Stegostoma tigrinum: one gene and its partner. The protein of the gene in region 2 interacts with the protein of the main gene of each other region in a pairwise test. Links are inferred from orthologs where the notes say so. Each region holds a gene or a part of one and is shown on either strand. Other genes may lie near its edges.

The links.
Region 1: the proteins of kif9 (region 2) and prmt6 interact in a two-hybrid assay, tested with the Homo sapiens proteins (2 studies listed by BioGRID and IntAct). The link is inferred for Stegostoma tigrinum from reciprocal best matches to the Homo sapiens genes KIF9 and PRMT6.

What each region holds. Positions count from the first base shown.
Region 1 is NC_081380.1:4,858,528-4,874,283, forward strand, and holds prmt6 (protein arginine N-methyltransferase 6), read right to left. Parts: upstream 8,466-15,756; 5' UTR 8,220-8,465; coding exon 6,672-8,219; 3' UTR 6,529-6,671; coding exon of another isoform or gene 6,469-6,528; 3' UTR 5,409-6,468; downstream 1-5,408. UniProt on the Homo sapiens protein: Arginine methyltransferase that can catalyze the formation of both omega-N monomethylarginine (MMA) and asymmetrical dimethylarginine (aDMA), with a strong preference for the formation of aDMA.
Region 2 is NC_081358.1:95,685,974-95,701,845, forward strand, and holds the start of kif9 (kinesin-like protein KIF9), read right to left. Parts: upstream 7,736-15,872; 5' UTR 7,421-7,735; intron 3,723-7,420; 5' UTR 3,711-3,722; coding exon 3,615-3,710; intron 1-3,614. UniProt on the Homo sapiens protein: Essential for normal male fertility and for progressive motility of spermatozoa.

The DNA of each region.
Region 1 (15,756 bases), on a different chromosome or scaffold from region 2:
AATAACTTTTATGTGGAGCCTTGTCAAATCTTTTGCGGCAATATAAGTGCAGTGTATCAATGTGTCTCCCTTTTTATTCACATTGCAAGTCACTCCTTCAAAGACTTAAAATAAATTGGTTAGATATTGTTGCCCTTTCATTAAAAAAATGCCAACTCTCCCTGGTAACTTTGCATTTTCCATGGGCCCAGTTATCATATCCTTAATGATTGACCCTAACACCTTAGTTTCCTGGGCATTCAGCTAACTGGTCCACAGTGTCCTGTTTTTGCCCCCTTCCCTTCTTGAATACAGGGAATATATTTACTCCTTTCCACTACTAATAGAATCTTTTCAGAATTTAATTAATTTTGGAAAATTAACACTTAATGATCTACGACCTCATTATCTGACTATTTTAATATCCCAGGACGAGGTCTTCTGGATCTTGAGACTTATCAACTCACAGCCCCATCAGTTTGCTCAGCACCCCTTCCTTGTCCATTATAGAACATAGAACAGTACAGCACAGAACAGGCCCTTCAGCCCACAATGTTGTGCCGACCATTGATCCTCACGTATGCACCCTCAAATTTCTGTGACCATATGCATGTCCAGCAGTCTCTTAAATGACCCCAATGACCTTGCTTCCACAACTGCTGCTGGCAACGCATTCCATGCTCCCACAACTCTCTGTGTAAAGAGCCCGCCTCTGACATCCCCTCTATACTTTCCTCCAACCAGCTTAAAACTATGACCCCTCATGCTAGCCATTTCAGCCCTGGGAAATAGTCTCTGGCTATCAACTCTATCTATGCCTCTCATTATCTTGTATACCTCAATTACGTCCCCTCTCCTCCTCCTTTTCTCCAATGAAAAGAGACCGACCTCAGTCAACCTCTCTTCATAAGATAAGCCCTCCAGTCCAGGCAGCATCCTGGTAAACCTCCTCTGAACCCTCTCCAAAGCATCCACATCTTTCCTATAATAGGGCGACCAGAACTGGACGCAGTATTCCAAGTGCGGTCTAACCAAAGTTTTATAGAGCTGCAACAAGATCTCACGACTCTTAAACTCAATCCCCCAGTTAATGAAAGCCAAAACACCATATGCTTTCTTAACAACCCTGTCCACTTGGGTGGCCATTTTAAGGGATCTATGTATCTGCACACCAAGATCCCAATGTCACCAATTTCCTCTTTTCCCTTAATCTCCAGATTTAAAGGATTACTGGGATGGTTGTTGTATTGTTAATGGTCAGTTAGCTCAGTTGCCCGGACAGCTGGTTTGTAATAGAACGAGCACGTGTTCAATTCATCTGCTGAGCAAACAAGGGACTATCCTTCTCAACCTCTGCCCTCATGAGGCATGGTGCCCTCAGCTTAAACCTTCACCAGTAACTGGTCTCTGATTCATTTGGACTATGGTGACTTTACCCTATGGTGAAGAAAGAAGCAAAAATATTTATTCATTTCATTATGTCTACAATTGGCTTCTTATTTTCACCGTTCAGAGGACTAACACTTACTTTACTTGCTTTCTTTTTAAGATACTGATATCTGTCTGTCTCTATATTTCTAACCAATTTCCTCTCATGTTCTAATTTATTTGCTCTGGTTAACCAGTTTGTCACTCTCTGTCCTGCTTTTTATTCTGACTAATCATATGACCTGTCAATCTCCTTTGCACAATTATATGCTTTTTCATAGTCATACGGCACAGAAACAGACCCTTCGGTCCAACCAGTCCATATCAAATCATAATCCCAAACTAAACTAGGCCCACCTGCCCGTTCCTGGCTCATATCCCTCCAAGCCTTTCCTATTCATGTACTTATCCAAATGTCTTTTAAATGTTGCGACTGTACCCACATCCACCACTTCTTCAGGAAGTTCATTCCACACACGAACCACTCTCACTTTTGTTTAAAATCTTTCTCCTCTCACCTTAAGAATTTGTCCCCTAGTCTTGAAATCCCCCATCCTCGGGGAAAGAAAACTACTATTAACTCAACCGATGCCTCTCATTATCTTATAAACATCTAATAGGTCACCCTGAAAACTCCTACACTCCAGTGAAAAATGTCCCAGCCTATCCAGCCTTTTTTTCTAACTCAAACCTTCCATACCCTCTCCAACTTAATATCCTACCGATAACAGGATGACCAGAATTGAACACAATACTCCAGAAGAGGCCTCACGAACGCCCTGTAAAACGTCAACCATAGCATCCCAACTCCTGTACTCAAAGGACTCAGCAATGAAGGAAAGCATACCAAATCCCTTTATGACCTCCCTATTTATGTATGATGCAATCTTCAAAGGAAGTATCTGTACCCCTAGGTCCCTCTGTTGTACAGCACTACCCAAGGCCCTACTATTAATTGTATAAGCCCAAACCTTGTTTGTTGTACTAAAACGCAATACCTTGCATTTAACCAGATTGAACTCCATTTGCCATTTTCCAGCCCATTGACCCATTTGATCAAGATCCCTTTGTAAGTCTTAGAAAACCTTCTTTACTGTCTACAATGCCACCACTTCTGGTGTCATCAGCAAACTTACTAGCCATGCCTTCTATATTCTCATCCAAATCATTTGTACAAATGACAAACATGATGACCCAGAACCAATCCCTTTTTCCTTCAGTTCAATGCTATCCTTAAGTTAACCACAGAGCGTGGGTCCTCAAGTTTGATTTTATCCTTGATCGTAGGGATATATTTATTGTAGGTATTCTGAAACACCCCATTCAATGTCTGCCACTGCTTTTCTAGTGACCTACTCCCGAGCACAATATCCCCACTCATTTTAGCTCGCTCAGCTTCCACACCTCATAGTTGCCATTTTTTAAGTTTACAACACCAGTCTTGGACACATGCTTGTTGCTTTCAAACTGGATATCAAATTCAATCACATTATGATCACTGCTATCTACAGCTGCCTTTGCTCTGACATTATTCATCAATCTCATCAAAAAGCACAATACCAGGCCAGGCATTGCATGCCCTCTTGTTTGTTAAAGTATGTGTTACTCTAAAAAAAATTTTGAAAGCATACTCTGCACTGCTCAACCAGGCTACAACTGCCAAGCTGACGTTTCCAGCTTATAAATCACCCATAATTATTGCTGTTCCTTATCACAGGCTATCAATATTTCTTGTATGCTTTCTCCCACATTGTGATTACTGTTAGAGGGCATGTAGACCACTCCTTTATTTAGGATCAAGCTAACCGGCCTCCTGTTTTCTGTCTCCATCCTTTGTGAAATGAAGTGACTAATTTTCCTTACGATTCCTCATTTTCTTCAAATTGACTCTACATCCTGATCTCCTGAACCAAGATCATCTCTATTATACCAGTGCCATTCTTGTGTAACAGAGTTACCCACCCACAGACCCCAGCCCTTACCAAGGTTCCCATCCTTCTTTAATATCATGTCTCTCAATATTGAGAACACAAGCCTTGTATCCAAATTTCCATAATAGCTATCAGATCATCCTTATTTAATTCAATGTGTGCAATCAATTCAGTTACTTTGTTTCAAATGCTATGTGAAGTCAGATGCAGAGCATTTAGATTTAAACAAAAATCTGTAGCATTCAGTCCTGACCACTGGTACATTCTTGATAACAAAGTGTGGGGCTGGATGAACACAGCAGGCCAAGCAGCATATTAGGAGCACAAAAGCTGATGTTTCGGGCCTAGACCCTTCATCAGAAAGGCACGATGACTCCATTCTGCTCTTCCCATTGCAAGCTCTTCAGCCTGTACAGATATCCTAGACCCTGTTACTAAGCACACAACACAACCATCTATACACTTTTCTTTGCTGCCAAGAAGTGTCAATCCCTCTCACTATATTGCCCTCTTTAATCATAACATTCCTTCTTCCTCTACCACTTAAACAGTTTCATTTATCATGGTGCCATGGCCAGTTATCTCATCCACCCTGAGGTCCCCACTCTCAACCAAACAGGCTGGGAAGCCTGGACAATTGTAAAGGTTGGGGCTTACGCTTTTCGGATCCCATTTCTTCCTCACTTGCAGTCATTCTCTCCTGTCTCTGACCACTATTCAGTCAGAAGTGCTCATCTTAAGGGATGTGACTGCCTCTGGGAATAAAGTGTCCAGATAAATTTCTCTTTCCCTAACTTGCCATAGTGTCTGCGACTCAGTGATTCTCAGCCAAAGTTCCTGCAGCATCCCAGTGCTTACTACAAGGGTGTGCACCCTGGATTAGACCAGAATCCCCAAGTTCCCACATTCTGCAATTGTAGCACATCAGCTGTATCCTTGTAAATTAGCTCCGCACTCTCACCAGCACAATCTGCAACACCGTCCTTCCTGTAAATGTGGTGAGCTGAATTGTATACAATTCAAAGTACTTTATAACCAATATAGTACTTTTGAAACAAAGTCATTGTTGCAAAATAGGAAAATGCAGCAACCATTTCATGTACGGTAATATCTCACAAACAACGTAGAAAAAGACCAGTTCATTGGCCTAGAACAGGGCTTAAACTGACAATTGTCTGGCTGAGCGGCAAGAGTGCTAACATTGAACAATGTGAACAATGTGATCAATTACTTCTGAAGTGGAATCACTTATTTGGGAATCATGTGCAGTAATTCTCACGAACAGTGTGAGGTGAATCTTTTTTCTTAATATTGATTCCAGGACAAAAAGTGGGCAATTGTAGAAAATTGCCTGTTTTTGAATAATACCTTAGGTTCTTTAGTGTGACATACACATCTTTATATTCATGTACACTGTAATACACAGTGACCTGTATACTGTCATGTACACAGCAACTATATACTAGAGTACACATGCTGACTGCTTTATCCTGTAATACACAGCCAACTGTATGCTGTAACATATACAGCCAACTATATACCATATCACACACCCAACTGTATGCTGTAAGCCAACTATATACTGGTAACATACATAGCCACATGTATACTGTAATCTACACAGACTGTAATGTACAGTCAACTGTACTGTAATATGCACACAAACTAATATACACTGCCATCTATATACTGTAATACACAGCCAACTGTTTACTATAATAGACACAACTAACTATATGCTGTAAAACACACAGCCACATGGATACTTAAATATACATAAGATAGCCAACTATACTATAATGTGCACACACACAGGCAACTATGTGCTTTATTACACACACAAACCAACTGTATACAGTAATGTGCAAAGCTAACTACAATAGGGCCAACTGTATACTATGATATACTCCCAGCCATCAGTATACTGTAATATGCATGCCCAGCCATACGTTTAGTGTAATATACCCACAGCTTACTACGTACAGTGATGCACATACACAGGGAACTGTATACTGTAATTCATACATAACCAACTATATGATCGAATGCTGCAGGAGACTTTTTGGGTTGAATGGCTTATTTCTGCCCCTATAATTTATGGTCTAATGTACAATAATACACACACACATAGCCAACTGTATACTGTGATACAAACACAATCCACTGTATATTGCAATATATGCCCACACAGCCAAACAATCATGAATGCATAAAGAAAAATAAACAGCACTTTGTTATGTTTTATAAATAAATAGTGTTCATTTCGACAATTCAACAAAATATCAAATTTGGTACAATTTAAAACACCAACAGCGTGACACACTTCTTTGGCCTGCTTGATACATAAAATATTATATGTCCATTTGGATATGGTAAGTGTTCTGTAACAACGCACCTCTTGGGGTTTTAGACCTCTCCCATAACACTTTCACAGTACACAAGAAAGGACAGGTTTAGTACTGGTTTTATCTCATTGTTGATACAGTGTTCAGAGCTCAATCAAACAATTTTAGAAAAGAGTCATTCGTTTCAGAAAGCTCAAAACTGTATGTGACTGAAAATTGATTGATCTATTAATATTTTCTGCAAGGGTTTGCAAAGGTACAAAGTTGCAATGGTACTTTGTGATGAACCAGTAAAGAAATTGCAAAAACACAAGTTAGCCAGCATTTAAAATTAAAAGTTGATGCTTCAAGTAAGATCCCTGTGATCCAACTGACATAGGATTTTCCAAAACAGTGACTTGTGTCTTATTTTCTTTCGAAATAGAACGTGGTCCTTTTCCTTTTCACAAGGATACTGAGGCTAACACTGACAGCAATCAGCTAAAACAGCACAAAGCAGTAATTAGTTTAGTTACCACTTGGGCTGCATGAATGCACCAGAAAATGTTTCAAGTGAGAGTCAATTTACTTTGCATGAACACTAACTCAGAGTAGGCAACTAGTAATTTACCATGAGAAACACCAGTGCAAAAATTCACATACAAGTTACATTGGAGCGACAAACCAAACAAAGTTTGTTCATTAAGTTATTAAAATTCTTAAGTATACATGCACGAATGGCAACTCAAAAGCAGCAACCATTCTGAATTAATTTATTTTTGTCCCACATTCATCAATCCAGCAAGTCAATGACATTTTAGGGCTGTATGTTTCTTCCTGACTTGCCCATTCCTTCCTTTGGCTCTCTGCATGGGTTAATTGAGTTAAGGCAATTTTTTCACAATGAGTCATTCAAAGAACAACTGAATCGTTTTGGAAAACAAACAGCAAAAACGTTTAACTGTTCAGGCACTTATGGGTCCATTTGGGTGCAAGCAGCGATAAAGTGTTACTCAAAGGAAGAGAAATCCTCCCCCATTTTAAATACTTTTGTTTTCTTTCCACTATCTCCAATCTCGTAAACCAAGGATACCCGGAGATGTCGTGGATTATCTACAGCTGGAGTTAAAGTTATTTTTCCTTTTATCACAGTATCCTGGAACACTTGCACAGGTTCATCCAGATAAAGCAAGGCCTGTTTCCAATGAGTTTCCTCTGCAAAAGGTGAGGTCGACAAAACAACTGGCTCAGATTCATCAGTGTTGGCATCAAATGTAACAGGGTTAGTTTCATTACTGAGATCAAATTCACAGAGATTGTCACCATTGGCTGTGACGGCAAAGCGGCTCTCAACAGTTCCATTGCTGATGTGTGCACTGGTTACACGGGATGTAAAGGCTTTGGCAGTGGACGCACGATGACCATTGTTGCTGGTTGCACACTGACTGTCAGCACGGGGACTGGTCCCTTGATGGCCATAAGAACAGCCACTGGTTGCATGCTGACCATCAGCACCACCACTGGTCATATGTTGTGCTTCATCAGGGCCACTAGTTGAACGTTGACCATCGTCGTGGTCACTGGTCGAGCGCTGACCATCGTCGTGGCCACTGGTGGCATGGACACCGCTTGGCCCACCATCGGTGTGGTCCGTGGGGGCGGACGTCGGGAAGATGACAGAAAACCAGATGGCGAAGGCATGCATGGTGGCGATGCCGAAGGCCGGGACCGAGAAGAGGCCGCCTAGCTCCTCGAGCTGCTGCTCGGTGACGGTGTAGAGGTCAACGGCGGCGAACATGGTGGGCCGGGCCAGGACGTCCTCGCCGTGCAGGCCGGTCACCACCATCTCGTCGGTCATGAGGCAGCGGCGGGCGAAGGCGGCCATGCAGGCCATGTCGACGCCGTGCTGCTCCTTGACTCCGTCCCAGAAGGAAAGGCGCTCGTGCAGGGCCGGGTCACTGACCGGGGCGATGTAGAGCTCGGCTCGGCACGGGAAGAGCAGGCCGCCCGGTTTGAGCCATCGGTCCCGGGCGTGCAGCACGCTGCGGAGCATCGACTCGTACATGAGGCCGTAGCCCATCCACTCGCTGACGATGGCGTCCACCCTCTCGGGCAGCTCGGCTTCCTCCACCCGGCCCCTCAGCACCCACACGCGGCCGCTCAGCCCGTTCGCCTCGACGACCTCGCGGGCGCGCTCCGCCATCACCGCGCTCGCCTCCGCCGCGTACACGCGCGCCGCTCCCGCCTGCGCGCAGAAGACGCTCAGGATGCCCGTGCCCGCGCCCACGTCCAGCACCGTGCGGTCCCGCAGCAGGCTCACTCGAGCCCGGGGCTCGAGCCCGGCCGCAGGCCGCAGGCCTCCCTGTAGGGCCCGGCGGTAGCAACCGGTCCGCGCCGAGTCCGCGATCATCTCCTCGTGGATCGACACGTCCGAGTACGAGTGGAAATAGGCTCCGTCCTGGCGGGCCCGGGCCTCGGGACCTGGCCCCCCGCTCCGCCGGGCCTCGGGCTCGGCCTCCAGCCGCGGCCTCTTCGCCTGATGCGGACCCGGCTCCATTTAGTTTCCGCTGGGTCCAGGCCTCATGGCGTTTCTAGGGCCCTCGGCTTGGGCCTGTCCAGCGCTGCCTGCCCCGGGAGCTGAAGTCTCGAACGCCGCGGAGAGCCACAGCCCGGGGCCGCCCCCTTCCATACCTGCCGGCCCCACCCCCTTCTCCCTCACACGCAGCAGCTGCCTGGGGGTGGGCTCGGGGCTGTCTGTCAGTCACCGAGGGCGCAGGGGTCTGTCTGTCTGTCAGTCAGTCACCGAGAGGGGAGGGGTCTGTCTGTCAGTCAGTCACCGAGAGGGGAGGGGTCTGTCTGTCAGTCTGTCACCGAGAGGGGAGGGGTCTGTCTGTCAGTCACCGAGAGGGCAGGGGTCTGTCTGTCTGACATCGAGAGGGCAGGGGTCTGTCTGACATCGAGAGGGCAGGGATCTGTCTGTCTGTCAGTCACCGAGAGAGGAGGGGTCTGTTTGTCTGTCACTGAGAGGGCCGGGGTCTGTCTGTCTGTCACCGAGTGGGGAGGGGTCGGTCTGTCTGTCTGTCCGTCAGTCACCGAGAGGGCAGGGGTCTGTCTGTCCGTCAGTCACCGAGAGGGCAGGGGTCTGTCTGTCTGACATCGAGAGGGCAGGGGTCTGTCTGTCTGTCAGTCACCGAGAGGGCAGGGATCTGTCTGTCTGTCAGTCACCGAGAGGGGAGGGGTCTGTCTGTCTGTCACCGAGAGGGGAGGGCTCTGTCTCCCACCGAGAGGGCAGGGGTCTGTCTGTCTGTCACTGAGAGGGCAGGGGTCTGTCTGTCTGTCTGTCACCGAGAGGGAAGGGGTCTGTCTGTCTGGTTGTCACCGAGAGGGAAGGGGTCTGTCTGTCTGGTTGTCACCGAGAGGGAAGGGGTCTGTCTGTCAGTCACCGGGAGGGCAGGGGTCAGTCAGTCAGTGAGAGGGCAGGGGTCTGTCAGTCACCGAGAGGGGAGGGGTCTGTCTGTCTGTCACCGAGAGGGGAGCGGTCTGTCTGTCCGTCAGTCACCGAGAGGGGAGGGCTCTGTCTCCCACCAAGAGGGCAGGGGTCTGTCTGTCAGTCACTGAGAGGGCAGGGGTCTATTTGCCTGTCACCGTGAGGGCAGGGGTCTGTCTGGCTGTCACCGAGAGGGCAGGGGTCTGTGTGACACGGAGAGGGCAGGGCTCTGTCGGTCACCGAGAGGGCAGGGGTCTGTCTGTCTGGTTGTCACCGAGAGGGAAGGGGTCTGTCTGTCAGTCACCGAGAGGGCAGGGGTTTGTCAGTCAGTCACTGAGAGGGCAGGGATCTGTCTGTCAGTCCCCGAGAGGGCAGGAGCCTTTCTGTCAGTCAGTCACTGAGAGGGCAGGGGTCTGTCTATCTGTCACCAAGAGGGCAGGGGCCTGTCAGTCACGGAGAGGGCCGGGGTCTGTCTGACTGTCTGTCACCGAGAGGGCAGGGGTCTGTCTGTCTGTCACTCAACGAAAGGGCCGGGTTATGTCAGTCAGTCACCGAGAGGGCAGGGGTCTGTCTGACATCGAGAGGGCAGGTGTCTGTCTGTCTGTCAGTCACCGAGAGGGCAGGGGTCTATTTGCCTGTCACCGAGAGGGCAGGGGTCTATTTGCCTGTCACCGTGAGGGCAGGGGTCTGTCTGGCTGTCACCGAGAGGGCAGGGGTCTGTGTGACACGGAGAGGGCAGGGCTCTGTCGGTCTGTCAGTCACCGAGAGGGCAGGGCTCTGTCGGTCTGTCAGTCACCGAGAGGGCAGGGGTCTGTCTGTCTGTCGCCGAGAGGGCAGGTGTCTGTCTGTCTGTCAGTCACCGAGAGGGCAGGGGTCTATCTGCCTGTCACCGTGAGGGCAGGGGTCTGTCTGTCAGTCACTGAGAGGGCAGGGGTCTGTCTGTCTGTTTGACACCGAGAGGGCAGGGGTCTGTCTGTCTGTCACCGTGAGGGCAGGGGTCTGTCTGTCTGTCACCGTGAGGGCAGGGGTCTGTCTGTCAGTCACCGAGAAGGCTGGGGTCTGTCAGTCACCGGAGGGCAGCGGTCTGTCAGTGACCGAGAGGGCAGCGGTCTGTCTGTCAGTGACCGAGAGGGCAGCGGTCTGTCAGTCAGTGACCGAGAGGGCAGCGGTCTGTCAGTCAGTGACCGAGAGGGCAGCGGTCTGTCAGTCAGTCACCGAGAGGGCAGCGGTCTGTCAGTCACCGAGCGAGCAGGGGTCTGTCAGTCACCGAGCAGGCAGGGATCTGTCTGTCAGTCACCGAGAGGGCAGGGGTCTGTCAGTCACCGAGAGGGCAGGAGTCTGTCTGTCTGTCAACGAAAGGGCAGCCATCAGTCTCTTTGTCAGTCACCGAGAGAGCAGGGGTCTGTCAGTCACCGAGCAGGCAGAGATCTGTCTGTCAGTCACCGAGAGGGCAGGGGCCTTTCTGTCAGTCAGTCACTGAGAGGGCAACGGCCTTTCTGTCAGTTAGTCACCGAAAGGGCAGCCGTCTGTCTGTCTGTCAGTCACCGAGAGGGCAGGGGTCTGTCAGTCCCCGAGAGGGCAGGGGTCTGTGTCTGTCGCCATGAGGGCAGCGGTCTGTTTGTCACCGAGAGGGCAGGGGTCTGTGTCTGTCGCCATGAGGGCAGCGGTCTGTCTGTCACCGAGAGGGCAAGTGTCTGTCTGTCTGTCAGTCACCGAGAGGGCAGGGGCCTTTCTGTCTGTCAGTCACCAAGAGATCAGGGGCCTGTCTGTCTGTCAGTCACCGAGAGGGCAGGTGTCTGTCTGTCTGTTTGACACCGAGAGGGCAGGGGTCTGTCTGTCAGTCACCGTGAGGGCAGGGGTCTGTCTGTCAGTCACCGAGAGGGCAGGGGTCTGTCAGTCAGTCACCGAGAGGGCAGCGGTCTGTCAGTCACCGAGAGGGCAGCGGTCTGTCAGTCACCGAGAGGGCAGCGGTCTGTCAATCACTGAGAGGGCAGCGGTCTGTCTGTCTGTCAGTGACCGAGAGGGCAGCGGTCTGTCAGTCACGGAGAGGGCAGCGGTCTGTCTGTCAGTCACCGAGAGGGCAGCGGTCTGTCAGTCACCGAGAGAGCAGGGGTCTGTCAGTCACCGAGCAGGCAGGGATCTGTCTGTCAGTCACCGAGAGGGCAGCGGTCTGTCAGTCACCGAGAAGGCAGGGATCTGTCTGTCAGTCACCGAGAGGGCAGGGGCCTGTCAGTCACCGAGAGGGCAGGGGTCTGTCAGTCACCGAGAGGGCAGGGGTCTGTCTGTCTGTCAACACGAGGGCAGGGGCCTGTCTGTCTGTCAGTCACCGAGAGGGCAGGGGTCTGTCAGTCACCGAGAGTGCAAAGGTCTGTCTGTCTCTCACTGAGAGGGCAGGAGTCTGTCTGTCTGTTTGTCAACGAAAGGGCAGCCATCAGTCTGTCTGTCAGTCAACGAGAGGGCAGGGGTCTGTCAGTTAGTCACTGAGAGGGCAGCGGTCTGTCAGTCACCGAGAGGGCAGGGGTCTGTCTGTCTGTCAGTCACCGAGAGGGCAGGGGTCTGTCTGTCTGTCAACACGAGGGCAGGGGCCTGTCTGTCTGTCAGTCACCGAGAGGGCAGGGGTCTGTCTGTCTGTTTGTCACTGAAAGGGCAGCATTCTGTCACTGAACGAGAGGGCCCGGGGTCTGTCAGTCTGTCACTGAGAGGGCAGGGGCCTGTCTGTCTGTTTGTCACTCAATGAGAGGCCCGGGGTCTGTCAGTCTGTCACTGAGAGGGCAGGGGTCTGTCAGTCACCGAGAGGTCACGGGTCTGTCTGTCTGTCTGTCACCGAGAGGGCAGGGGTCTGTCAGTCACCGAGAGGGCAGCGGTCTGTCTGTCTGTCACCGAGAGGGCAGGGGTCTGTCTGTCACCAAGAGGGCAGGGGTCTGTCTGTCACTGAGAGGACAGGGGTCTGTCTGTCTCTCACCGAGAGGGCAGGGGTCTGTCTGTCACTGAGAGGACAGGGGTCTGTCTGTCTGTCAATGACCGAGAGGGCAGAGCCCTGTCTGTCACCGAGAGGGCAGCGGTCTGTCTGTCTGTCACTGAGAGGGCAGGAGTCTGTCAGTCACGGAGAGGGCAGGGGTCTGTCTGACAGTCTGTCACCGAGAGGGCAGGGATCTGTCTGTCTGTGAGTCACCGAGAGGGGAGGGGTCTGTCTGTCTGTCACCGAGAGGGCAGGGGTCTGTTTGTCTGTCACTGAGAGGGCCGGGGTCTGTCTGTCTGTCTGTCCGTCAGTCACCGAGAGGGCAGGAGTCTGTCTGTCTCCCACCGAGAGGGGAGGGCTCTGTCTCCCACCGAGAGGGCAGGGCTCTGTCTCCCACCGAGAGGGCAGGGGTCTGTCTGTCTGTCACTGAGAGGGCCGGGGTCTGTCTGTCTCCCACCGAGAGGGCAGGGGTCTGTCTGTCAGTCACTGAGAGGGCAGGGGTCTGTCTGTCTCCCACCGAGAGGGCAGGGGTCTGTCTGTCAGTCACTGAGAGGGCAGGGGTCTATTTGCCTGTCACCGTGAGGGCAGGGGTCTGTCTGGCTGTCACCGAGAGGGCAGGGGTCTGTCGGTCACCGAGAGGGCAGGGGTCTGTCTGTCTGTCACCAAGAGGGCAGGGGCCTGTCTGTCACCGAGAGGGCAGGGGTCTGTCTGTCTGGTTGTCACCGAGAGGGAAGGGGTCTGTCTGTCAGTCACCGGGAGGGCAGGGGTCAGTCAGTCACCGAGAGGGCAGCGGTCTGTCTGTCTGTCAGTCACCGAGAGGGCAGGGGTTTGTCAGTCAGTCACTGAGAGGGCAGGGATCTGTCTGTCAGTCCCCGAGAGGGCAGGAGCCTTTCTGTCAGTCAGTCACTGAGAGGGCAGGGGTCTGTCTATCTGTCACCGAGAGGGCAGGGGGTCTGTATGTCTGTCACTCAACGAGAGGGCCGGGTTATGTCAGTCAGTCACCGAGAGGGCAGGGGTCTGTCAGTCACCAAGAGGGCAGGGGTCTGTCTGTCTGTCTGTCTGTCACCGAGAGGGCAGAGGTCTCTCTGTCTGTAACTGAGAGGGCAGGGCTCTGTCTCTCTGTCAGTCACCGAGAGGGCAGGGGTCTGTCTGACACCGAGAGGGCAGGGGTCTGTCTGACACCGAGAGGGCAGGGGTCTGTCTGACACCGAGAGGGCAGGGGTCTGTCTGACACCGAGAGGGCAGGGGTCTGTCTGACACCGAGAGGGCAGGTGTCTGTCTGACATCGAGAGGGCAGGGCTCTGTCCGTCTGTCAGTCACCGAGAGGGCAGGGCTCTGTCCGTCTGTCAGTCACCGAGAGGGCAGGGGTCTGTCTGTCTGTCACCAAGAGGGCAGGGGCCTGTCTGTCTGTCGGTCACCGAGAGGGCAGGGGTCTATTTGCCTGTCACCGAGAGGGCAGGGGTCTGTCTGTCGCCGAGAGGGGAGGGGTCTGTCTGTCTGTCAGTCACCGAGAGGGCAGGGGTCTGTCTGTCTGTCACCGAGAGGGCAGGGGTCTGTCTGACACCGAGAGGGCAGGGGTCTGTCTGACACCGAGAGGGCAGGGGTCTGTCTGTCTGTCTGACACCGAGAGGGCAGGGGTCTGTCTGACACCGAGAGGGCAGGTGTCTGTCTGTCTGTTTGACACCGAGAGGGCAGGGGTCTGTCTGTCAGTCACCGTGAGGGCAGGGGTCTGTCTGTCAGTCACCGTGAGGGCAGGGGTCTGTCTGTCAGTCACCGAGAGGGCAGGGGTCTGTCTGTCAGTCACCGAGAGGGCAGGGGTCTGTCAGTCAGTCACCGAGAAGGCTGGGGTCTGTCAGTCACCGAGAGGGCAGCGGTCTGTCAGTCACCGAGAGGGCAGCGGTCTGTCAGTCACCGAGAGGGCAGCGGTCTGTCAGTCACCGAGAGGGCAGCGGTCTGTCAATCACTGAGAGGGCAGCGGTCTGTCTGTCTGTCAGTGACCGAGAGGGCAGCGGTCTGTCAGTCAGTCACCGAGAGGGCAGCGGTCTGTCAGTCAGTCACCGAGAGGGCAGCGGTCTGTCAGTCACCGAGAGGGCAGCGGTCTGTCTGTCTGTCAACGAAAGGGCAGCCATCAGTCTCTCTGTCAGTCACCGAGAGAGCAGGGGTCTGTCAGTCACCGAGCAGGCAGGGATCTGTCTGTCAGTCACCGAGAGGGCAGGGGCCTTTCTGTCAGTCAGTCACTGAGAGGGCAACGGCCTTTCTGTCAGTCACCGAGAGGGCAGGGGTCTGTCAGTCCCCGAGAGGGCAGGGGTCTGTTTGTCTGTCACTGAGAGGGCCGGGGTCTGTCTGTCTGTCTGTCCGTCAGTCACCGAGAGGGCAGGAGTCTGTCTGTCTGTCACCAAGAGGGCCGGGGTCTGTCTGTCTGTCTGTCCGTCAGTCACCGAGAGGGCAGGAGTCTGTCTGTCTCCCACCGAGAGGGCAGGGCTCTGTCTCCCACCGAGAGGGCAGGGCTCTGTCTCCCACCGAGAGGGCAGGGCTCTGTCTCCCACCGAGAGGGCAGGGCTCTGTCTCCCACCGAGAGGGCAGGGCTCTGTCTCCCACCGAGAGGGCAGGGCTCTGTCTCCCACCGAGAGGGCAGGGCTCTGTCTCCCACCGAGAGGGCAGGGCTCTGTCTCCCACCGAGAGGGCAGGGCTCTGTCTCCCACCGAGAGGGCAGGGCTCTGTCTCCCACCGAGAGGGCAGGGCTCTGTCTCCCACCGAGAGGGCAGGGCTCTGTCTGTCTGTCACCGAGAGGGCCGGGCTCTGTCTCCCACCGAGAGGGCAGGGCTCTGTCTGTCTGTCACCGAGAGGGCCGGGCTCTGTCTGTCTGTCACCGAGAGGGCCGGGGTCTGTCTCCCACCGAGAGGGCAGGGCTCTGTCTGTCTGTCACCGAGAGGGCCGGGCTCTGTCTGTCTGTCACCGAGAGGGCCGGGGTCTGTCTGTCTGTCACCGAGAGGGCCGGGGTCTGTCTCCCACCGAGAGGGCAGGGCTCTGTCTGTCTGTCACCGAGAGGGCCGGGCTCTGTCTCCCACCGAGAGGGCAGGGCTCTGTCTGTCTGTCACCGAGAGGGCCGGGCTCTGTCTGTCTGTCACCGAGAGGGCCGGGGTCTGTCTCCCACCGAGAGGGCAGGGCTCTGTCTGTCTGTCACCGAGAGGGCCGGGCTCTGTCTGTCTGTCACCGAGAGGGCCGGGGTCTGTCTCCCACCGAGAGGGCCGGGCTCTGTCTGTCTGTCACCGAGAGGGCCGGGGTCTGTCTCCCACCGAGAGGGCAGGGCTCTGTCTGTCTGTCACCGAGAGGGCAGGGCTCTGTCTGTCTGTCACCGAGAGGGCAGGGCTCTGTCTGTCTGTCACCGAGAGGGCCGGGGTCTGTCTGTCTGTCACCGAGAGGGCCGGGGTCTGTCTCCCACCGAGAGGGCAGGGCTCTGTCTGTCTGTCACCGAGAGGGCCGGGGTCTGTCTCCCACCGAGAGGGCAGGGCTCTGTCTGTCTGTCACCGAGAGGGCCGGGGTCTGTCTCCCACCGAGAGGGCAGGGGTCTGTCTGTCTGTCACCGAGAGGGCCGGGGTCTGTCTCCCACCGAGAGGGCAGGGGTCTGTCTGTCACCGAGAGGGCCGG
Region 2 (15,872 bases):
GCTACTGACCTTGCTTCATATCCATGCAGGACCATTTCCATGGTTTTGACACCAAATGCCGTCCCCTGACTTAAACTGTCCTTCTATCTTAGACGTGTCATGTAGCCAGCACTGGCGTTCCTGCTGGAATTTTACCCATTCCACCCCACCCAAACCCCTTACCCCACCCACCCCGGTCTGGGAATATCAGGTTTAACCTGGTGCAGAATCTTCACCCCGTCAGCAATTCTGCTGGAAACTACCCCTGTAGTTGCATGAGGGCTGGTCTTATAATCAAACAGAAAGCAGGACAGTTTGGCGCCGAGTGAAGCTGCAGGCTGTTTCTTAGGCCTACCTTCAACATTTGAATTGCTTTTTCTGCCAAACCAATGGACGATGGATTGTACAGAGCTGACTGAACAAGCTGAACACCATTCAATTTTTGGTAAATGACATCTCATTGTCCATGACCAATATGTGTAGGAGTCCATGTATCATACATGATGCTCGCAGGTTTTCAATTGTCACCTGTGTTTGAACACTATGCATGCCCAACCATTTTGAATGGGTATCCACAATGACCAAGCACATTGAGCCCATGAAAGGACCAGCATTGTCAATGTGTAACCGAGTCCAGGTTTTAGCCAGTCATTCCTAGCAGGAGCTGCTGGCAGTAATTTTTGTCTTTGTTGGCACTCTGGCACTACCCCACTACCTACGTCGCTATCCAATCCTGGCCACCAGACATAACTTCTTGCAAAACTTTCATTTTGGATACCTCTGGATGACCCTGGTGAAGTTCAGCCGGTACCTGGCAGTGACCTTTAAATCAGGCCAATCACTCTTGCTTCTCATAGTAATATGCCACCCTCTATGGTAATCTGGTCTTATCAGGTCTGGGAAGTTTTCATTCTTGGTTGTGATGGCTCTTTTGTTTCCCCCATTACCTCCAGTTGCTTTAGCTTTGTTATGATAGGAGATTTTAGTGTCCACAGTCAGGTATTGTCAGTGGTGACCAGAACAGTGCCCAGAAAGTTTAAAACCAGAATGGACTCTTCCAGCGGAGGAACCACCAGAAGTGTGTGCCAGTGGGGGATGGCTCAAGGCATCCACATTTGCCATTGCATCTTGGACTGTGTTCCAACTTGTATGCACTCAGAACAGGCCTGCTGCTGAATTCAACCAGAAGCTATGGGTGGCACAAGCCTTGTTTTTAAGTAGTCCTAGCAGGGGTTTGTGGTGCATTACTATTAAAAATCCATGTATGTAAAGGTATTGGAGGAACTTTCTCACACCAAAGATGGCCACCAAACTTTCATTCTCTATTGAAGCAATTTGCGTTCAGTATCAGCCCAAGTCTGGGAGGCCAAAGCTGTCAGGCATTCCACTCCATTGGGCCAGCAGTGAGCTAACACTGCCCTGATACCATCTGGGGAATAAATGAATGTCAGCATCACCTCTTGCTCGGGTATGTAGTAGGCCAACTCGTTAGATAACAACAGTTGCTTCTTCACTTCCCTCAAGGCTACTTCTTGGCTATTCAGTCATTTCCAAGGCTGACCCTTTTTCAATAGCAGGTGTAAGACAGCCAAGCTGGAGGCCAGGTTATGTATGATTTGTAATAATTTACCAACCCAAGGAAAGAGCTCCAGTACGCATGCAGGAGCCAGGGCACCTTTGAGTGCACTCACTTTATCTTCTAATAGGTAATGAGGAGGAATGGAATGGGCACCTCAAGATTTTGAAGGACGCCATCATAAGAATGGGATTTGATGCTCAAATCATTGATCACCAGTTCTGATGTGCCACAGTGAAAAACCGCAAAGCCCTCCTCAGAAGACAGATTCAGGGTACGATCAATAGAATACAGTGCATCATTCAGTACTTTCGCAGAGTGGAGAGATGGCACCATGTTCTTTGCAGCCTTCAACACATTATTGATGATGATAAGCATCTCGCCAAGATCATCCCTATACCTTCAAACAACCGCCAAACCTTAAAGTGACTATTGTTCGCAGCAAACTACCCAGCCTTCAGGACAACATTGACCACAACGCTACACAACGCTGCCATGGCAAGCTCTGCAAAACATGACAGATCATTGGCATGGATACTACCATCACACATGAGAATATCACCCATCACGTACACGGCAGATACTCATGTGACTTGGGCAATGTTGCCTATCTCATACGCTACAGGATTGAATGCCCTGAGGCAGAGTATATTGGCGTGACCATGCAGATGCCAGGACAACAGATTAATGGACACTGCGCAACAATCACCAGACAGGAATATTCCCTGCCAGTTGAACATTTCAACAGTCAAGAATATTCAGCCTTCAACATTTGGGTAAACGTCCACTGAGGTAACTTTTGAGATACACAACACAGAATTGCCGAGCAGAAATTGATAGCCAAGTTCCGTACACATGAAGTTGGCCTCAACCGTGATTGTGTGTTCATGTCACGCTACATGCAACCCCACCACACTGTTCTATATCTGTAAAATCTTCCCTACTGTACTATTATGACTCCGTCACCTTGACAAATTGTTATGGTCTCTCTACCTTAATTAGTTTGTACAGTGTTGGATTACTTATTACTTTGGTTAGACCCTCGGCATGCAACTCTTATACCTATCATGTTATTCCTGTCATTTGGTTTGTCTCCAACATCAACTTATTTTTAAGCTTTTATAATTAACTCCATGCCTCACTTAATCGGATTATATGTCATCCCTTCACTTGTTATTTAACTGTTGGCACTTTACTCACATCGTCTGACATGTGATCACCAGCAGAGACGTATTATTCAACCCTCCACTCACACCATTTGTATGATCGTTTGATCTATCTGCCTTTGATCTCTCTGCCCATAAATTTTGTTTCTTGGAGCTTCTTTCTCACTTCACCTGAGGAAGGTGCTATGCTCCGAAAGCCCGTGATTTCAAATAAATCTGTTGGGCTATTTTAAAAAACCCAAAAGATCTGCAGATGCTGTAAGTCAAGAACAAAAACAAAAGTTGCTGGAAAAGCTCAGCTGGTCTGGCAGCATCTGTGAAGAAAAATGTTCTGAGGAAGGGTCACCGGACCTGAAATGTTAACCCAGATTTTTTCTTCATAGATGCTGCCAGGCCTGCTGAGCTTTTCCAGCAATTTCTGTTTTTGTTCCTGTTGAACTATAACCTTGTGTTGTCTGATTTCTGATTTAATCAAGAAATGCATTATATTAGCATCAGGGGGCTACCGTGATGGTAGTACATGAAGTGTGGACCTTCTCTTGTCCAGCAATTTCTGTGTCCTTGAAAATAATCCTTCAATTTCTAACTAAAAGACATGTTGCAATCCTCAAGTTTTAATTATAGTATATATATTGTGGTCAGCAACAGAAGATGTCAACAAGCAATATATGCAGTTGTTCATGTCACAGTAGATAGTTAATTCTCCTAAGACTGAAAATGAGTCTAAATTTTTTAGACAGCCAGTTGACCAGGAAGAATGGGTGATGATATGGTGATGTGATGTTCATCTTCCATTAGGAGTTGTTAGAGGCTCTGAAGACATCAACTCTTCACTGTGATTTCTCAATATAAATAAAACATACAGGAGAGTCTTCTGTAATGGTCTTTCTTACCTGATTGTCAGGTAAAAACTCAATCATATCTGATGCAAAATTAGTTGTTGTTCTGACTCTGGCGAACACCTTCACACCACTGCTTTTGCTGCTCATCTTCAACTAAAACTGCAATGAAGAATAGTTAGACCATAAAATGTCAAGTGATCCTTTTTTTTTCAAAATGATACGATAGAAATTCACATATCAAAATTAATCCAAATGGTAAGTGGCACTTTAAGCAGGGTAAATGAATGCCTAAAAATATAAGATACTCATAGATCAATGGAATTAGCAAAACAGTGCCAAATGGATTTCAATGTACATGAGACTTCATCCACTTTTAGCTAAAAAGGGTATTTACTAAATGAGGGAAAGTTTAAAATAGTGTAAGTAAAGAGATAAGTAAAATTAGCATGGGTGTGAAGAATATTTTAAAAGGCTAATGGATTTCTGTCCTTTATATCTAAAGGACCACAATGCAGCTTTAGCTGCATAAAGCAATGATTAGGCCATACCTAGGGTCAAGTAAGCAAATCTAGATGTCACACCATTCAAATACTTTGTTAAGTCAAGTTAGGAAGGGTGAACTGATTCCTTTCCTTGTCCCGCTCCTGTACTGGTCAAAATAAAATTTAAATTTAAAAAGGAGGGAATATTGTCAATTGTAATTCAGTACAAGAAACAAGTCAGCCAGGTTCCTTAAGTAATAAACAAATAACTAATTTATGGGAAACCAAACTTGCTCAAACATAGATGTAAAGATTATTAACAAGTGGTTAGAAATGCAAAAATATACACAACTGTCCTTCTTTCAAATTACAATACACAACCTCCAATTTTGACAGCAAAGTATTAAACACTGCCAAGTGTTTTGGCACTGGAATGTCTTCCTGGACCAGCTATGACTGGCTAATAATATTTTAATGCAGACGGTGATGTAGATTTCCAAGTCTCCTTTTGGAAACCTCCATTTAGAGGGATGAAATCTTCCAGTGAATTTTCAACTCTCAAACTCTGACAACAATGATTTCAAGGAGGAGAAAGAGGGCAAAGGCTGTTGCGTTTGGGAGAGCTTATCTTGCATTTTCGTGTTAAAATCCAATAGTTTCATTTGGATCTACAAACTGTGTCATGTGATATCTCCAGAAGTGTTGTCGGCTTATTGACTTCAGTTGAGCAGCTTCTGTTCTTTGCAAATGCAACCTTTCTTTGTGCTGCGGCCAGTCTCCTTAGCTTTAAAGGTATTCTTTTCAACAATTAGCAATGGATTCATTGTCATCATTAGACTATTAATTCCAGATTTTCATTGAATTCAAGTTCTACCATCTGCCATGGCAGGATTTGAACCACGGTCCCTGGGACATTACCTGGGTCTCTGAATTAGCAGTCCAGCCATAAAAACACATGGCCATCACCTTCGCTAAGTTCAATTAGATTTTAAATTTATACTTCAAATAACACATCTTCATATCAATGTAGTGACCATAAAGGAGTTTTATTTTTTCTGAAAAGCCTTTTGTTTTAAATTATGAGGGAAGTTTACATAAGCTACGATCATATCTCCTGAAACTTAAAAAGTTACGCTGAGTTGATCAAATTTTACAAGATATGAAAGGGACCAAATATGGTTAAGAGAGAGGAAACTATTCTGGCTAGCAAGGAAGTCTCAGGAAGTTAAAAATTGCTAAAAGGAGATTAGAACAAAGAACAAAAAAAAATACAGTACAGGAATAAGCCCATTCAGCACTCCAAGCTGCACCGACATGCTGCCCATCACAACAAAAAGCCCATACCCTTATGGGAACCGTATCTCTCTATTCCCATCTTATTCATATATTTGTAAAGACGCCCCTTAAAGTCACTGTAGTATCTGCTTCCACCACCTCCCCCAGCAGTGAGTTCCAGGCACCCACCACCCTTTGTGTAAAAAACTTGCCTCATACATCACCTTTAAGCCTTGCCACTCACAGCTTAAACCATGGCCCCTGGTAACTGACTCTTCCATCCTGGGAAAAAACTTCTGACTGTCCAAATTGTCCATGCCCTTCATAATCTTGTAGAACTCTATCCGGTGCCCCCTCAACCTCCATCATTCCAGTGAGAACAACCTAAGTTTCTCAGATATAGTAGGAACTGCAGATGCTGGAGAATCTGAGATAACAAGGTGTAGAGCTGGATGAACACAGCAGGCCGAGCAGCATCAGAGGAGCAGGAAAGCTGACTTTTTGGGCCTAGACCCTTCTTCAGAAAAAGGGTCGGGCCCACAACGTCAGCTTTCCTGCTCCTCTGATGCTGCTTGGCCTGGTGTGTTCGTCCAGCTCTACATCTTGTTATCCAAGTTTTTCCAACCTCTCCTCATAGCTAATGTCCTCCATACCAAGCAATATCCTGCTAAGGTAATTAGGTATTGGAGCATTCTGTCTTGCAACCATCAGAGCTAGGTTACAAGAAACAAACTTAACAAAAACAATACCATTTCACATAGCACAAGTGGGGATGCTGATTAGTTGGGCCACCATTGGCATGGAGAGGCAGTAAGAACAGTTAACCATCACTGCTATTTCCAGACCAGGCAGGTAGATTTTGATTGAACAGAGCATTGCCATTGAGATAAAGCAGACTTTGTCTGTCTCCATTACCCAGTTCTAAGTTGCTTATAAATGTGAGTTTTATTCTCTGCTGTGTTCCTATCATGTCTGCATATCTCAATGAATAATAATGCTGAAAATGTTAACATACAAACTTGAACTACACTAGTAAGTCATTGAACCATAGAAGGCAGACTGGCATTCATACACAGTCTCTCTCCGGTATTAGTTGCTGCATAGTAATCAGGACCAGGAATAAGAATGCACTTTGTTTTCTCCATCCAAGCTCAGGAAACGTTCATTTGAATTGTAGTGTCTCTCAATTCCTCACCAAGGTTCTTACTCTGGATCAGACTTTATCTGGAATGGAATTTTAAACCTGCTAAACATCAATACCGCGGCTAGGAATTTTATCAAGGTTTTCTTCCAACTTTCGAAAAAGTAGATACGCCCTTTTTGAGATGTTAGCGTTTGCTTAGTCATTGCATTCAGTTCTATGTCAGATGCTGGCTTGAGTTTAAGACCACTCCAGGGACTTGGCGCATCATTTTGGGTACAATTGAGGGGATGCTTCACTTCCATGCAATCCGGCTACCTGCTGAGATGCCAAAGTGAGGCACCATCTACTCACAAGAAAATAAAAGATCCTCCGGCATTCTAGGGAGGCGTTGCTTGGTACTGTGACCAATACTTATCCCTCAATCAATTTGCGAGTAAAACGATAATCTGATTTATTTTTGTGGAACTTTTGGGTGCCTATGTTTTCTGGATCACATCAATGGCTGTACTTTAAAAATATTTCAATGGTTGTTTTGTTTGTGTTTGTTGTGGGGTGAAAGGAACATTATGCAATTTTTTTTTCATTCTAAGACTTTGATCCTTATGGGGGCTGTATAGACTTTCCCAGCACCTCGCCTGGGTAGTGGCGGTTTTGATGGTTAGGGGACGGCTATTCTTGATTTAGGTCAGCCCAACATACCCAGTGTCACCAAGGAAGCCAGGGTCCTCATTCTCTCGCCTGGTGTATGCCTGCAACCCCTTGTCAGCACAAGTGGTTTTACGGCATATGGAGACCAAGCCAAAAATCCCACTTTCCCCTCCGGCCGATTATAGTCAACGGCAAAAAGGAAAATGAGGTACGGGAGAAGTCGTATTGACCACATTGAGGCCTGGAGTGGCTGCAAAGGGACAGCTGCAAACTCTGTCTATAAACTGAGTGAAATGATCACGACTTACTGTCCCCGATGTTTTCTCTCTCTCCCTCACTCTCTATCTCCCGCAGGAGGCTCCAACAACACCATCTCCCAGACGCCGGGCCGCCATCACCATGGAAACAGTTCCCAAGGTGACCAGACGGTGTAGGGCCCAGAGCAGCTAAACCCCATATTTTCCGGGTCCGGATTCAGCGCGGATCTCACTTCAGTTTGTAATTAAAGCCGATTCCATTGGACTCGCTTTATTTCAGAATTTCTTTGTGATTTACGAGCGCACGAGGGCAGCAGTTGCTAAGGCCACTGTCGCTGGGGAAACGCGAAGCGCGGCAACGGCAACAGCTGGCCGTCGACACGTGAGGCGGATCGTCCCCGCCCACCTCTGCCGGCTCAGACCCCACCCCCACCAACGGCCCGGCCCCTGCCCCGCCCACCACATCTGGCTGCCCCACCCCATGGCCTCGGCCCGCCTCCTGCAGCCTTCGCCTTAATTTCAGGTGTGTGTTCGTCACTGCTGGGGGACGAACTAGACTCAAACAACTTAGGGAAAGAACTAGTAGGGACTACAGCTGCTGGAGAATCTGAGATAACAAGGAGTGGAGCTGGGTGAACACAGCAGGCCAAGCAGCATCAGAGGAGCAGGAAAGCTAGCATTATCAGAGCCTGCTCCTGTTCAGCTAGCTAAGTCCAATGATCTCGAAATTCCCATCATTTATTCACTCCCTATGTGAATATGTCCTTTTGAACAAACGTATCGCACTTAAAAATAACAGGTTTAAGTTTGATTCCACGGTGACATGTAAATACTTCTGCGCTTCTGATCAGCTCAGCAATTAGCAGACATATTCATATAGACAGGCCACTGGAAAACTCGTGCTCTCAATCTTAAAGCAAGGGGTAGCGTCCTCAAATCGGTCAGAATGTAACGATTTTTAAATTCACACCACAGACTCAGGACATATGATGCCCGAGAGTTCTGGTCTTTCAGCAATGCAAATCTAATTTTAAGGTCTCAGCCCTTCACGATCTAAACGTCCCACAGCACGAGTGAAAGAACAGGATATCCTGCCAGCATATATTGCTTAACCATTTTCCTTGTACATTGCGCAAATTAGCTTCTATTTCTTACGGCGTACGCTTGCAAATACTTAGCAGTGTAGAGAAACTGATGTCGTGAAATGTAACACATAAATGCAACTCCTTTCATTTCATCTGCTTCAGTTTGAATGACTGATAAGCATGATCGTTATTAGTACTATACCTTTATTTCAGACCTCAAGCGATCAGTGCCTCATGATATTATTTGTTTTGTGCAGAGATTGCAACACATAGAAAACGAAATTAACCAGTAGAGAAACAGGACCACTCCCATGGATAGGGGTAGGTTTGATTTTCATTTCATGGTCAAGTTTTCATCTTTCCATTTGATAACCCGGTTGCTCATTTCAGCTGCATATACATTTTATTTATAAACTGTTTTACAACAACACTAGCGTGAAAGGTGATGTGGTTCCCTGTATTGTGTGCGCAATGTCCACGCATAGTTGTACTTAAAAAAAATCATGGAATGGTGGAGCAGACTTGAGGGGCTGAAAGTCTAACTTCTACTTCTATGTCTTGCATTTCATGTATCAAAACTTAATCCTTTTAAGAATAGCTTAGAACTAGTTGAGTTTTGATTAGTCATTTTAGCTGATAACAGCTTTTTACTTCCATATTTCTTTTCAGAATAACTGAATTTAAATTTGCAAATTATCATAATACAGTTAGCATTGATGTTTTGACCAACCTAAGTCTCTGAATGATCAGAGTCAGTAGGAACTGCAGATGGTGGACAATTTGAGATAACAAGGTATAGAGCTGGATGAACGCAGCAGGCCACACAGCATCAGAGGAGCAGGAAAGCTGACGTTTCGGGCCTACACCCTTCTTCTGAAGAAGAGTCTGAAGAAGGGATAGAAAGAGCAAGATTAGGGAACCATGGATGACAGGTGAAATTGTAAGACTAGCAAAGAGGAAGAAGGAAGCATACATAAGGTCTAAGATAACAAAGTGTGGGGCTGGATGAACACAGCAGGCCAAGCAGCATCTCAGGAGCACAAAAGCTAACGTTTCGAGCTAGACCCTTCATCAGAAAAGGGGATGGGAAGAGGATTCTGAAATAAATAGGGAGAGAGGGGGAGGTGGACCGAAGATGGATAGAGAAGATAGATGGAGAGGAGAGTAAGGGTGGGGAGGGAGAGGAGATAGGTCAGTCTGGGGAGGACGGACAGGTCAAGGGGGCGGGATGGCATGAGTAGGTAGGAAATGGAGGTGCGGCTTGAGGTGGGAGTAGGGGATAGGTGAGAGGAAGAACAGGTTAGGTAGGCAGGGACGAGCTGGGCTGGTTTTGGGATGCAGCGGCGGGGGTGGGGGGGGGGGGGTGGGGGGAGGATTTTGAAACTGATGAAATCCACATTGATACCATTGGGCTGCAGGGTTCCCAAGCGGAATATGAGTTGCTGTTCCTGCAACCTATGGGTGGCATCATTATGGCACTGCTGGAGGCTCTGGATGGACATGTCATCTAAGGAATGTGAGGGGTAGTTGAAATGGTTTGCGACTGGGAGGTGCAGTTGTTTACTGTGAACCGAGCATAGGTGTTCTGCAAAGCGGTCCCCAAGTCTCTGCTTGGTTTCCCCTATGTAGAGGTAGCCACGCCAGGTACGGCAAATGCTGTATAACACATTGGCGGATATGGAGGTGAAATTCTGATTGACGTGGAAAGTCATCTTGGGGCCTGGGATGAGGGTGAGGGAGGTGGTGTGGGGGCAGGTGTAGCACTTCCTGTGGCTGCAGGGGAAAGTGCCTGGTGTGGTGGGGTTGGAGGGGAGTGTGGAGCGGACAAGGGAGTCGCGGAGAGAGTGGTCTCGCTGGAAGGCAGACAAGGGTGGGGATGGAAAGATGTCTTTAGTGGTGGGGTCGGATTGTAGATAGCACAAGGTTCGGAGGATGATGCGTTGTATCTGGAGGTTGGTGGGGTGGTATGAGAGAACTAGGGGTATTCTCTTTTGGCGGTTATTGCGAGGGCGGGGTGTGAGGTGTGGGAAATGCAGGAGACACGGTCGAGGGCGTTCTTGACCACCGCGGGGGGGGGGGGGGGGGGGAAAGAGTTGGGGTCCTTGACAAATGAGGACATCAGGGATGTGCAGGAGTGGAATGCCTCATCCTGGGAGCAGATGCGGCAGAGGCAAAGGAATTGGGAATAGAGGATGGAATTTTTGCAGGAAGGTGGGGGGAGGTGGTGTATTCCAGGTAGCTGTGAGAGTCGGTGGGCTTGAAATGGACATCGGTTTGTAGGTGGTTGCTTGAGATGGAGACAGAAAGGTCCAGGAAGGTGAGGGATGTGTTAGAGATGGTCCAGGTGAACTTGAGGTTGGGGTGGAAGGTGTTGGTGAAATGGATGAACTGTTCGAGCTCCTCTTGGGAGCATGTATCGGCGTCGATACAGTCATCAATGTAACGGAGGAAGAGGTGGGGTTTAGACGCCTGAAAACAGACGAAACTTTGGAAGAATCAGGACCAATCTAAAACAAGGAATTAAGAGGGCTAAAAGGGGTCATGAAATATCTTTAGCAAACACGGTCAAGGAAAATCCCCAAAGCCTTTTATTCATACATAAGGAGCAAGAGGGTAACTCAAGAAAGGGTTGGCCCACTCAAGGACAAAGGAGGGAAGTTATGTGAGTAGTCAGGGAAATTGAGTGAGATTCTTAATGAGTACTTTGTGTCAGTATTCACTGAAGAGACTGGCGTGATGGATGTTGAGGTTAGGGACAGATGTTTGATTACTCCAGGCCAAGTCAGCATAAAGAGGCAGGGAAGTGTTGGGTGTCCTAAAAGGCATGAGGGTGGACAAGTCTGGATGGGATCTATCCCAGGTTACTGAGGGAAGCGAGAGAAGAAATAGCTGGGGCCTTAACAGATATCTTTGCAGCATCCTTGAGCATGGGTGAGGTCCCGGAGGACTGGAGAATTGCTAATGATGTCCCCTTGTTTAAGAAGGGTAGCAAGGATAATCCAGGTAATTATAGACCGGTGAGCCTGACATCAATGGTGGGGAACCTGCTGGAGAAGATACTGAGGGATAGGATCTATATACATTTGGAAGAAAATGGGCTTATTAGTGATAGGCAGCTTGTTTTTGTGCAAGGGAGGTCATGTCTTACCAACTTGATAGGATCCTTTGAGGAAATGACAAAGTTGATAGATGAGGGAAAGGCTGTAGATGTCATATACATGGACTTCAGTAAGGCATTTGATAAGGTTTCCCATGGTAGGCTGATGGAGAAAGTGAAGTCGCATGGGGTTCCAGATGTACTAGCTAGATGGATAGAGAATTGGCTGGGCAACAGAAGACAGAGAGTTGTAGTGGAAAGGAGTTTCTCAAATTGGAGACCTGTGACCAGTGGTGTTCCACTGTTGGGACCACTGTTGTTTGTGATGTACATAAATGATCTGGAGGAAGGTATAGATGGCCTGATTAGCAAGTTTGCAGATGACACTAAGATTGGTAGAACAGCAGATAGTGAAGGGGACTGTCGGAGAATGCAGCAAAATACAGACAGATTAGAGATTTGGGTGGAGGAATAGCAGATGGAGTTCAATCCAGGCAAATGTGAGGTAATGCATTTTGTAGGATCCAATTCAAGAGCAAACTACAAGGTAAATGGCAAAGCCCTGGGGAAAACTGATGCACAGAGAGATCTGGGGTTCAGGTCCATTGTACACTGAAGGTCACTACGCAGGTCAAGAGTGGTCAAGAAGGCACATGGCATGCTTTCATTCATTGGATGGGCTATTGAGTACAAGAGTTGGCAAGTCATGTTGCAGTTGAATGACACTTTGGTTCAAGCACATTTGGAATACTGCGGACAGTTCTGGTCGCCACATTACCAAAAGGATGTGGATGATTTGGACAGGCTGCAGAGGAGGTTCACCAGGATGTTGCCTGATAAGGAGGGCACTGGCTATGAAGACACGTTAATTAGATTAGGATTATTTACATTAGAAAGACAGAGGTTGAAGGGGGACCTGATTGAGGTCAACAAAATCATGAGAGGTATAGACAAGGTGGATAGCAAGAAGATTTTTTTTTACAGAGTGGGGGACTCAATTACTAGGGGTCACAATTTCAAGGTGAGAGGGGAAAAGTTTAAGGGAGATATGCGTGGCAAGTTCTTTACGCAGAGTGTGGTGGGTGCCTGGAACACGTTGCCAGCGGAGGTGGTAAAGGTGGGCACGCTAGTGTCATTTAAGATGTATCTACACAGGTACATAAATGGGCAGGGAGCAGAGGGATACAGATACTTGGAAAATAGGTGACAGGTTTACATAGAGGATCTGGATTGGCGCAGGCTTGGGGGGCCAAAGGGCCTGTTCCTGTGCTGAAATTTTCTTTGTTCCTTGATCAGCGTAGTAACATAACCGTTGTATTACTATACCAGATCTATCTTACTAGACTGTGCTTCAGGCAGAACTATCTCAGATTAGACTGTTGGACAGAAAGCTGCAGTATTTTATTCTGCATGTTACCATTCCTCAAAACAAAACTGGAAGGAATTGAGAGAGAAGGATCCAGAAATCGCAAAGAATCAAGGAGAAACAAAAACCCCAAAATAAGAAACTGAAAAAAGAAAGTAGAGGTGAAATTTGGCAATTACAGAAATCTGTGCAGGTTAGGCGAATCGGCCATGCTAAACTGCCCAACATGTCAAGGGATGTGCAGCCTAGATGGATTAGCCTGGGAGAATGTTGGGTTATGGGGATAGGTTGGGGAGTAGGTCTGGGTGGGATGCTTTTCAGAGGGGCAGTGTGGACTCAACTGGCCAAATGGTCTGCCTCCATACCTGTAGGGATTCTATGATTTATGATTTTCTCAAAAAGCATATGACTTGAATTTCAGTAGGGTGATTCAATGTGTGCACAAACAAAAATCAAAGCATGATATTTTTAAATATATGTATTTATAAAACATTTTCCATTTTCAGTGTTTTTGAAAGCAAAAGTTCAAGTCACATACACCACAAACAGTAAGTGGACAAACAGATCTAAAAAAAGGCCACAAGATATATTTTTACACTTAAGGCATCTTCTCTGTAACAATGTGCACGTGCGTACGCACACACACATGCACACGCACACGCACAGACAAACAGAAAAAGGGAAAACACATGTACCTGTACACATAAATGCATTGAATTTAAATTCAGTGTCTATGGAATGTACTCATTGAAACACCTATTCTCCAATCAGGCAGTGGAATAAACACAAAGGCAGCTGTTGTTTCCTTAAAAATAAAAGCTTCAAATCCAAGCAGTGACTATTGGCTTTATAACTTGACCTAATTTTGTTTTTAAACTGCTGATAGAAAATACCCATAGCGGTGTCTCTTGTTGTTTGCTGTAATGGTCTAATGTACATAGTGCAAAACACCACACTTGAAAATATATCCACTTTCCATTTTCAAAACCTCTTCAAAAAAATCTTCTTCACAATCACATGTTCACAAAAGTATCAACATTTCTTTTACAAATCACAGTACTCAAGTAGATGTCCAACAAATTTAAATAAAATTTAGTTGCCTTCTCCAACAAGCCAAAGTATATTAATTCACATACACATGAAACGTTTTACAACAAGAAAGTATTCAGCCTGCTAGCAGGAAATTTGACATTGATGTTGCTGCCTTATTTTAAGATAATGACAACAAATCTGCATATTCTGGCAGTATGGAGTAGATATCAACTAAATGTGGAAAATCTGTTTTATGTTCCCTTCTCCTTGATTCAATTTTTGTTGAAACAGGCTCCTAAATGGAAGAAGTAAACAAGTCCAAAAGTGCTCTTAATTTAGGATCACTGAGTCCACTGTCTGCTCTCAATCAACAACCAATGTGAGACTCAAAAATTGCAGAGACTTATTGGGCACAATTCTAAAAATCATTGCTAGGAGTTTGGAGGAAAGACCACAAATTAGTTTGAGATCAGAAGATGCCAGGGTCTTCAACTCTGCAAGCAGGCAGCTTAATATTTTTATGATGCTTCCTCTCAAGTATCAAATTTGCCGAGCACTCCCAGTCCCTTAAGATAAGTGGATACTCGAGAAACTGAGTGCTAATGACACTCAGCTGGTGGCACATGCAGTGGCAGTGTGGGTGGCAGGTGCCACAAGTTGGAGGAAAGGAAAGTTAAGAACGCACATGGAATTTATTGGAATGATTATGTTACAACATTTGGTTGCATCCTATCATATTGTAGCCAGAAAGTAATTTATCATACCATTTGGGAATATAATAACCTCATATCACCATACATATTTGTAACTCTAAATATAATATTGTTGCTGCTGCTCTGTGATCAATTTAGATGGTGAACTGGTTGTGCCTCTGATTGTGGTCAGAGTTTGGGCTAATGCTAATTTCGTAAGGGATGTTTATTAAGCATATAACAGAAATGAAAGCTGGCTTAATTTAAAAATTGAAACGTTGGGAACAAGTGATGTTTGTAGATTCACTATGATGAAACTTCAATATCTAAAAATCAGGACTTTCCTTCCAGCTGCAGGTTTGGACAGTTAATAGGGTAAGGGTTAGCTATTTAATCCAAGATGTCAACAGTACCCATATGTAATCTAAGGAAAAAAAAGAGAACATGAGCTCTATTTATCCATGTTCACATGTGAAATTCCAAAAGGAATTACTGAAGGTAGGAGGCAGAATCATCCCAGATTTACCACACTCTCCACGCCAAGTTGTCAAGGTCAATTTTCATGTCTCCACCACTATCCAGACTGAGAGCTACCTGCTTCGCTTCAATTTAAAAACCATGGCCTATGTGGCCCAAACTCTGGTACACCTAAAGCACAAAAAGGTGGAGTGTCCAGAATAACTTTTATACAAATTATTAAGTTTAGTTTTCATTGGTTAGAGCACTTCTTTTTAATCCAATGCAAATATAACATCCACATCAAAATCATGAAACATTGTCTGTTCTTGCTGGGCCAAAACCACGTCCCAATGCAAACGTGAAATACCCGGCCTGTTTTCAATAAGTCTAAAACATTGTTCCAAACTATGTCGGCATTTTTTTACCAATTCTTTCTTGCCTTAGAATTCTGGTGAGCTGCTTTTGTGAATCATTGCAGTCCATGCGGCATGGTCACACACCAAATGCTGTGAGGTGAGAGACCTCAGAATGTCAACCCAGTAGCAATGAAGGAACAGTCCCAAGTTAGAATAATGTGCAATTTGGGGTTGAGTTTATAGGTGACATGCTTTGCTGGTGATTTTCCCTTGTCCTTTGAGGCATGGAAGATTGTGGGCTCATTAAGTATTACTGTATATTACCTGTAACTAAATTATAATTATTTTCCCATGGAGCTAATTACTAAACCAAAATAGTATATACTAAAATCACTTTTAAAAAATCCATTAAATTC